2 linked regions of the Callithrix jacchus genome follow. The protein of the gene in region 1 interacts with the protein of each later gene in a biochemical or structural test. Links are inferred from orthologs where the notes say so. Each region holds a gene or a part of one and is shown on either strand. Other genes may lie near its edges.

Region 1 (4,407 bases):
ACAAGTAAATAGGAACTTAAAACTCACACAGCTAGGATGGGGCGCGAAAAGAAAACAAAGGAGTAATATCCAACTCAGCCCTGATGTGATAGTCCAGGTTGAGTAAGTCTAGAAGGATGAGTAGTGTTGGATCAGGCAAAGAAAGGTGAGGGGACTAGCATGTCCAAAGAGCCTCAGGTAAGAGTAAGAGAGCACAAGTTGGATGCATCTATAAATAATTCAATAGTGAATCAAAAGAAATCAAGATATGGAGATATCCACATGAAATGTCCAGCAGGCAGGTAAAAATGTAGGTTTGGAGCTACGGACAACATATCCAGATATGAAATACACTGTATTTTCAATCTTGTCTTAGAATCATAGTTATTGGCTATTTAAGAATTGGAAGAACCTTACACATTAGCTAGATTATGTATACTTCCACCTTCTTCTATCACTTACTGCAAAAGTATCTCTACCTTAAATTCAAAAGTTGGTTTACGTAAATAAACAAAGAGGACAAGTGGGGGTTGTGGTAAGGTGGAGATACATGCCTTGTCTAAAGAGGACAACCATTTACTCACCTCCAGCAGTTTAGTGCCTTGCTGGAATACAGGCCCTAACTAGCAAGAACTTCCTATTCTTCAAGAAAAGCTGAAAATTCAGATTTTATGTAATATCTCCCATTTTCAAATGCCAGCAACTAATTACATTTAAAAATAAAACAACACTGTGCCAGCCAAACAAAATGCTTCTAGGGACAGATTTCAGCAAGGGCCACCAGCATGGCAGAATTAAACAAGGTCTGTCAACTCCTACAGTATTCTTCCACTACTTCAAAAGATCCTAAGCTGATAGCTTGGTGATTCCCCCGGGATAGGAGCTGTTTTTGCCTCTAAGCAAAATGGCCCCTATTTGGCAATGCTTTATGAGTTCCTTTACAGGTTTTTAAACAATTTCCCTGTCTTCCCTTACCCTACCTGGACATCAGCTTCTGGCAGCACAGAGACCTCCTAAACCCCTTCCATTACACGCTAAGAAGTCAAACTTGCAGGTAAAGCAAAAGTAAGTAGTGAGAACCTGACGGGATTTCTAAGGATTAAAGTACATAAGACATATGGCGGCTGGGTGCAGTGGCTCACGCCTGTAATCCTAGCACTTTGGGAGGCCGAGGTGGGTGGATCACCTGAGGTCAGAAGTTCAAGACCAGCCTGGCCATCATGGTGAAACCCCATCTTATTTAAAAAAGAAAAGAAAAGGATATATGGCATCTTTTTGGTTTTCTTTAAAAAAAAAAAAAAGAAAAATCACATAGGTGTTCGTGACTAGTCAGACACCTGAAGGGGAAAATGTCAGTAACTTAAGTCAGAAATACATAAGCAAATTCTCCTAACAAACCAAATAGTTTCCACTGTAAGATAGCAAGAGGGACAAGAGAACAGGGCAAAGGGGAAAGTAAAAGTTACTGGCCTTTAAGCACTATCAGACACCTTTTAATGCTTAGCATAAAAGGTACAACATAATCTCCATTCTTAGTAGAAGCAAAACTATATGTTAACTAATTAACATGAAAGAGTCTTCGAGCAGCAAGAAACAGATTTAGAAACACTCTTAGATGAGTAAAGCAATCTTTGTAGAAAAGGTAAATGAAGAAAAGGAAACAAAAATAGTCTAGTACACTGTTGCTCTAGAAGCTTTAAAAATGTAACATTTCCTAATTATACTAAAACATTTAAAAACACAGCAAACTTAAACATACAAAGACTAAAAATTCTTAACAAGCCAAATGACAGCACCAAGAATCTCGAATGCCGCAAAAACAAAACAAAACCCCTGAAATTGGTAGCATGTGCACCAGCCCCTGTTAATCCGAGGAGCAGGGGAGATCAGGAGAACAGAGAGTGATTACTGAGGACGAGCGGAGCAGGCCACGCTCCTGCTGGCAGGCGAGCTCGCAATTCCTTAGAGCAAGCGTTACGGCCAGGGCATTCTCAAGCCACTAAAACGAGCATACTGGACACCTAAAACATGAGGCTGACAACAGCTCCGGGCTAAGACCGAGAAGGCGGAAAAGTGGCCTGCTTTGACCTCCACTGAAAACTGAGGCTTCTCCAACCGTTGTCTCGGAATCAAAGGGCAAAGCATTCACCTCTCGGGGTTGGATTATTCGGAGCAACTGCCCGCGGCTCCCCGCGGCCTTCCCACACTACGGGTGGATGTCAACACTGAGAGCCAGCCGTGTGGGGGACCTCCCCGTGTGCGCCGTCCTTTCGGAGACGCGGCGAGACAGGGAAGAAAGACGGCCCTGCGCGCGCGCCCCGCCTCCCCAGCCCTTCCCCTGCGCCTGCTCGGCGCCCGCGCTGGGGGGCTGCGGCCGGGAAGCGGGGTCCGGCGTGCTCCTCACCTTTTTCAGGGCAGGCACCAGCAGTCCTCGCCACTTGGGCGCGTTCTCTTCGCTGAAAAACTCGTAGGGCAGCTGCTGCGCCTGCATGGTGCCCCCAGGGCGCCTCTGGGCGGGGAGAGGGGCGGCGGCGGCCCGGCCGGGGAGCCGCGAGAGGGCGAGCTCGCTGCGCGGAATAGGGCCGCGGCCCCACCGGACGGCCCGGCCCCCTCCGGGCGCCGCGCAGCCGGGCTAGCCCTGGCGAGGGGGCTGAAGGGCGAGGCCCACGCCCAGCCACCCACCCGACACGGGTACTAGCCGTGGAGAACGAATGCGACCCGGAGGCGGCGGCATCCCGCACCACCGCCCCGGGGCCAGGCCCCCCCGCCCCTCCCTGGCCCGCCGGCGCCGCCCCGGGCGGCCCGCTACACCGCCGCCGCCTGCCGGGGCTGCACTCCCGGGTCCGGCCTGGCCCCGCGGCAGAGCTGGCGGCTGGGGGAGGACGTGTGGAGGGACGCTCTGGCCGCGGCGCCCGCTCCGCGCAGTTGAGACTCCGAAACGCAAGAGCCCTCGGGTGGGGCGGAGCTGGGGGAGGGGGTTTCGCGGGGAAGGGGAAGGACCCGAGGTCGTTGTTGGGGAATCTGGCTGCCCTGAGGTGCCGCCGCTGCCGCCGCCGGTGTAGCGCTGGAGCTTCCTACTAGCAAACTGAACCTGCGCGCTACTGAGCATGCGCTGCCGGGCTGGGCTGGTTCGCTCCGGGTTTTCCGGCTCCCGGTGAAGGAGGAGGGAAGCTGGGGGCGGGGGGAGTGGGGAAGGGAGGCAGGGCGCCTGACCGGGCTGTGGTTGCGCTCCTGGGGACTCCTGAGGAGGGGCGAAAGGGCCCGAGAAATCGAACCCTGGCAAAGTGGGGCCTGCAGAGGGGGTAAGAACTACGGTAAAGAAGCCCCCACTGTGTGGTCTAGCCGTGAGGGCTCCTACCCCTCTCTGAGTCCCTGGGCCTTTCGTTTCGGAAAGGGGCGTGTGTACTTTGTTCCCGAACACAAAGATAAGGACTGCCCAGCACGCAATGTATAGTAAACAGACCGGACAAAATATACAGGTGCTCTGTCTCGAAACCTACTGCTAAGTATCTGCTGGGCAATAGAAGTGATCGCAGTGTTTTTAACTGGTCTTTCCACGTCATCAAGAATAAAATGTGTACATGTAGTATTGATTTTCTGTGTGTGTTAGATTGCATTTGTTCATCTTTTCAACCCTCTCCAAATATGAATTCCAATAAGCACTTTCCTCCAATGGATACTGAGACCTCTTCTAAAGCTCCCAGAACACTGCACTTATTCCTCTCTCAGGGCATTTGGTCTATAGTGTTTTGTATCTTTTGTGGTTCTTTCAACTACATAATAAACTGGAAGGCAGATTTTTTTCACCAGGTCCTCCACACAGAACAGGCACTCAGTGAAAGTGGAATGCTAAAGGACCGGTATATATAAACTGTCCCTCCAGGCCACTGTTTATAATAGTGGCACTTTGTGGCAGACACCTCATGGTTTATCATTAATGATCACTTCTGGAGTATCATCTGATTTAATCCCCATAGCAACCCTATTATTTTCATTTCACCGATAAGAATGCAGTTTAGAGGAACTAGCTTGGGTTGAAGCTGACATTGTGTCCTGCTATTCCTAAGAACAACAGCCAGGATCACGTAGATGAGAAATGTTCAGTGGTTCATAATCTTTACAGGACCTCTGTGAAAATCTGAAAAAGAAAAAAAAAAAAGAAAGTCTTCAGTTATTTCCTTTAAAAATATACAGGCCAGTGGGCAAGGTGGTTCATGCCTTATAATGCCAGCACTTTGGGAGGACAGGGTAGGTGTATCACCTGAGGTCAGGAGTTCGAAACCAGCCTGGCCAACATGGTGAAACCTTGTCTTTGCTAAAAATAGAAAAATTAACTGGGCATGGTGGTGAGCACCTGTAATCCCACCTACTTGGGAGGCTGAGGCAGGAGAATCCCTTGAACCCAGGAGGCAGAGGTGGCAGTGAGCT
Region 2 (3,648 bases), on another chromosome or scaffold:
GCCGACTTGCAGTCTTGTTTACTAGAAGACGTTCGCATAAGTGTACTCACGTACTCATGGTTTACCAGAGCACACAGACCCCCAGCCTCGCTTTGTAATACCTGTGTGTTACTTTCCAGCCTATTTTTCTAAATGAGGTTCTAGTAAAATTACCCACGGATCCTTCTGGAGATGAGCCCATCTTCCACATTTCCCACATTGACCGAGTCTATACCCTCCGGGCAGAAAGCATAAATGAAAGGTAAGACCTGCCCCTCCCCAGCACTGGGCCCCGGGGCCCCCTGGCTCTGGGAGACACAAGGGGCATGTGATTAATAGCAGGTGCCAATGTTTCCCAAGCGGCAACGCCATACCTCTGGCTGGCAGTGGGGATGGGGCTGTTACTTCTTTCTACGGCCCCTCAAAAATCTGACACATGGCATGCACTTTGCAAAATAACATGGATTGAAACTAATTTTGCTTGAGTTTTGTTTTTATTTTATTTTTTTTAAGGCAGGGTCTGACTTTGTCACCCAGGCTGGAGTGCAGTGGCACAGTCACCGCTCACTGCAGCCTCAACCTCCTGGGCTCAGGTAATCCTCCCACCCTAGCCCCCCAGGTAGCATGTGCTACCAAGCCTGACTAATTTTTTGTATTTTTTTTTTTGTGTGTGTGTGTGTGGAGCTGGGGTCTCGCCATGTTGCTCAGGCTGGTCTTAAACTCCTGGGCTCAAGGGATCCACCTGCCTTGGCCTCCCAAAATGCCAAGATGCTGGAATTACAGGCATGAGCCACTGCACACAGCAGTTTCTTTTTTCTGTTTGAAACATGTAGCATTCTTTGAGGTAAACGGAGCATCTCACGTTTCCCCTGGCTTCCCAGGTGGCAGAAAGCAATAGAAAGCGATTTCGGAGTTAATAGGACCACCCAGCCCCAAACCCTTCCTCACCTGGGCTCACTTAAATAGGGCTTCTGGAACCTAGGGCTGTGGGTATTTTGCTTCAATCTGTCTTCAAGACTCTGCCCTGGAGCCAAATGAAACAGATCATTTTCTGAAGGGTGAACTTGACACAAGGCCAGCATCATTCCAAAGAGCATTTGCACCAAGCAAGAAAATTGGCTAAAGCTTTTGTGCATATGGTTCTCAGAAAAAATGAAGGAGAAAACAGCAGCCACAAATGTCTCCCTCCGGGGCATTCTGCTCTTTCATGTGAAGTGGTTCCCAATCTGGGAAGTGGCTTTTGTTCTTCCTTTGGGTGATTTCATAAACAAGATCCTTCTGGCCTGGGTTAGGCAAATATGTGCTGGCCTTTAGTAAGGAAGGAAGAGGAGTTGTGTCCTGATGTGGCCTCCAAGACGGCATCTATCACATATTTTCTTCCCCTGGAACATGAATTCAGGTCTTGAGGTCATCCATGGAAATGGCCCTCATGCCTTTACTATTGACGGCAGGAGTAAGTATTAGCATCACGTGACATAAAATCAGATTCTCTTTCCCAAGCCTTTGTTGTTAAAATCAAATGAACAAAGAAAACAGAGTCCTGGCAACAGTGTTTGAACAGACCTGAAGCCCTTTTCCTGAGTTTCTGTTTGGCAACTTTCTGTCTTTTTCTGTCCAAGGACTGCCTGGGTGCAGAAAATCAAAGCTGCTTCTGAACTCTACATAGAGACTGAGAAAAAGAAGCGCGAGAAAGCGTACCTGGGTAATGCATGGCCCTGTGGGGTGTCCCACACAGCTGGGCAGGAGGGAGGGCCATTTGGCTGGGCTGAGAATCCTCCAAATAGAAGATTCCCCTGGACCTAGAGGAGGGGCGTGAGATGGGATGAAAGAGAGCTTGGGGTGAGATGCGAACGGGGGATGGAGGGCAAATGCCAGGAGCAAGGAAGCCAGAGTTTAAGGAGAGGAGGGGAGAATTACTTTTGAGTAGGGAGAGGTCCATGACATGAATCGTGAGGCTCGCAGACATGGGAAAGGCATTGTATGTTCAAATGAAGCGTTTTGCGTTTTTCCTGCCATCATAGTCCGTTCCCAGAGGGCAACAGGCATTGGAAGGTTGATGGTGAACGTGGTCGAAGGCATTGAGCTGAAACCCTGTCGGTCACATGGTAAGGCTCTGAGGTGGTCCAGGCTCCTGCTTTAGGGTTGGAAGCTGGGTCTGCGTTCCCCACACCCCCACCCAGCTCCAAATTGAATGTGCTATTTCCATACTCCCCATCTCCTTCCCGAATTGGTTTAACTAGCACTTGTTAAAAACCTGGAGGTTTTTTGTTTTTTAAAATCCTTCCTACCGTTCTGTTTCTCCAAGGGATCTGAGTGGCGGCATTCACAGTGGCTGTGACACAGAATAAGGCCAAAGTGAGGAGACAGGAAGGGCCTAGTTTCAAAGCCCACTCAAGTAATTAATTATTTGAGCTTAGTTTAAGGATGAACCTGACTTCTGGGGGTTTTCACCTGGAGTCTCCATTGAAATCCAGGTGAAATATCTGCCACTTATTAAGCGTGGTAGTTATTAAGAGGGGTGCTGGCTGGGCGTGGTGGCTCACACCTGTAATCCCAGCACTTAGGAAGGCCAAGGCAGGCAGATCACCTGAGGCCAGGAGTTCAAGACCAGCCTGGCGAACATGGCAAAACTCTGTCTCTACTAAAAAGAAAAAGAAAACTTAGCCGGGCGTGGTGGCAGGCATCTACAATGCTAGCTATTCAGGAGGATGAGGCAGGAGAATCACTTGAGCCCAGGAGGTGGAGGCTGTGGTGAGCTGAGATCGTACCACTGCACTCCAGCCTGGGCGACAGATCAAGACTCCATCTAAAAAAAAAGAAAAAAAAGAGTGGGGATCAAAATGAGGTGTGATTTCCACCTGGTAAAGGCTTTTGTTCCCTCCAGGGAAGAGCAACCCATACTGCGAGGTGACCATGGGTTCCCAATGCCACATCACTAAGACAATCCAGGACACTCTAAACCCCAAGTGGAACTCCAACTGCCAGTTTTTCATCCGAGACCTGGAGCAGGAAGTCCTCTGCATCACTGTGTTTGAGAGGGACCAGTTTTCACCAGATGGTGAGTAGAATGCGGCCCTGAGGTGATTCCTTCTTCCCTGGTGCTAGTTTGTGTGGGTTCATGTTTTCTTACCTGGGGACTTGGTGCCAGGATTCCTGGGGTTTCCCTCCCAAGAGATGAGGCTGGCTGGCACAAGACGAGGCTCCGTCTCCCCTGGAGGTGTCTTCTGGAGGCGTTTCATCACATGTGGACAGAGCATGCTTGGTCTAGAACTGTGCCAGCTGCCCTGGGCAAACACTACCATCTTCTGCTTTCTAAAGCAAGTGACTCTGGAGACGGGTGTATTTAAGAGCCTCAGCATAGTTCTTCAGTCCTTGGCAAAAAAGCTGTGCTGGCAATGTTTGAAACTGGCTAATGGAACAAGAATGTTAGCCCACAGCAGTAGCCTCAGAATCGGCCAGGTCCCTTTGGGTGGCATTTCTGTGGCAGTTAAGTAGGCAAACGGATGCAGTCGTGTTGGATGAATCATTTCTTCAACCAGCCTTCTCTTTCTGCTTGGGCTGGGAAAAGAATAGTCTTGGCCCCATGATTCCAAGAAACTACCTGTCTCTCCCTCAACCCAATAAAAATCACCACTGGGCATGGTGGTACAGGCCTGGAATCCCAACACT

What was found. The genes of interacting proteins can lie anywhere in the genome.
Region 2: the proteins of SOS1 (region 1) and ITSN1 form a complex in vitro, tested with the Homo sapiens proteins (2 studies listed by BioGRID, with this or other methods). The link is inferred for Callithrix jacchus from reciprocal best matches to the Homo sapiens genes SOS1 and ITSN1.

The regions. Positions count from the first base shown.
Region 1 is NC_133515.1:75,897,902-75,902,308, reverse strand, and holds the start of SOS1 (son of sevenless homolog 1), read right to left. Parts: upstream 2,907-4,407; 5' UTR 2,471-2,906; coding exon 2,384-2,470; intron 1-2,383.
Region 2 is NC_133522.1:39,958,112-39,961,759, forward strand, and holds part of ITSN1 (intersectin-1), read left to right. Parts: intron 1-119; coding exon 120-241; intron 242-1,598; coding exon 1,599-1,681; intron 1,682-2,000; coding exon 2,001-2,084; intron 2,085-2,863; coding exon 2,864-3,037; intron 3,038-3,648. UniProt on the Homo sapiens protein: Adapter protein that provides a link between the endocytic membrane traffic and the actin assembly machinery. Acts as a guanine nucleotide exchange factor (GEF) for CDC42, and thereby stimulates actin nucleation mediated by WASL and the ARP2/3 complex.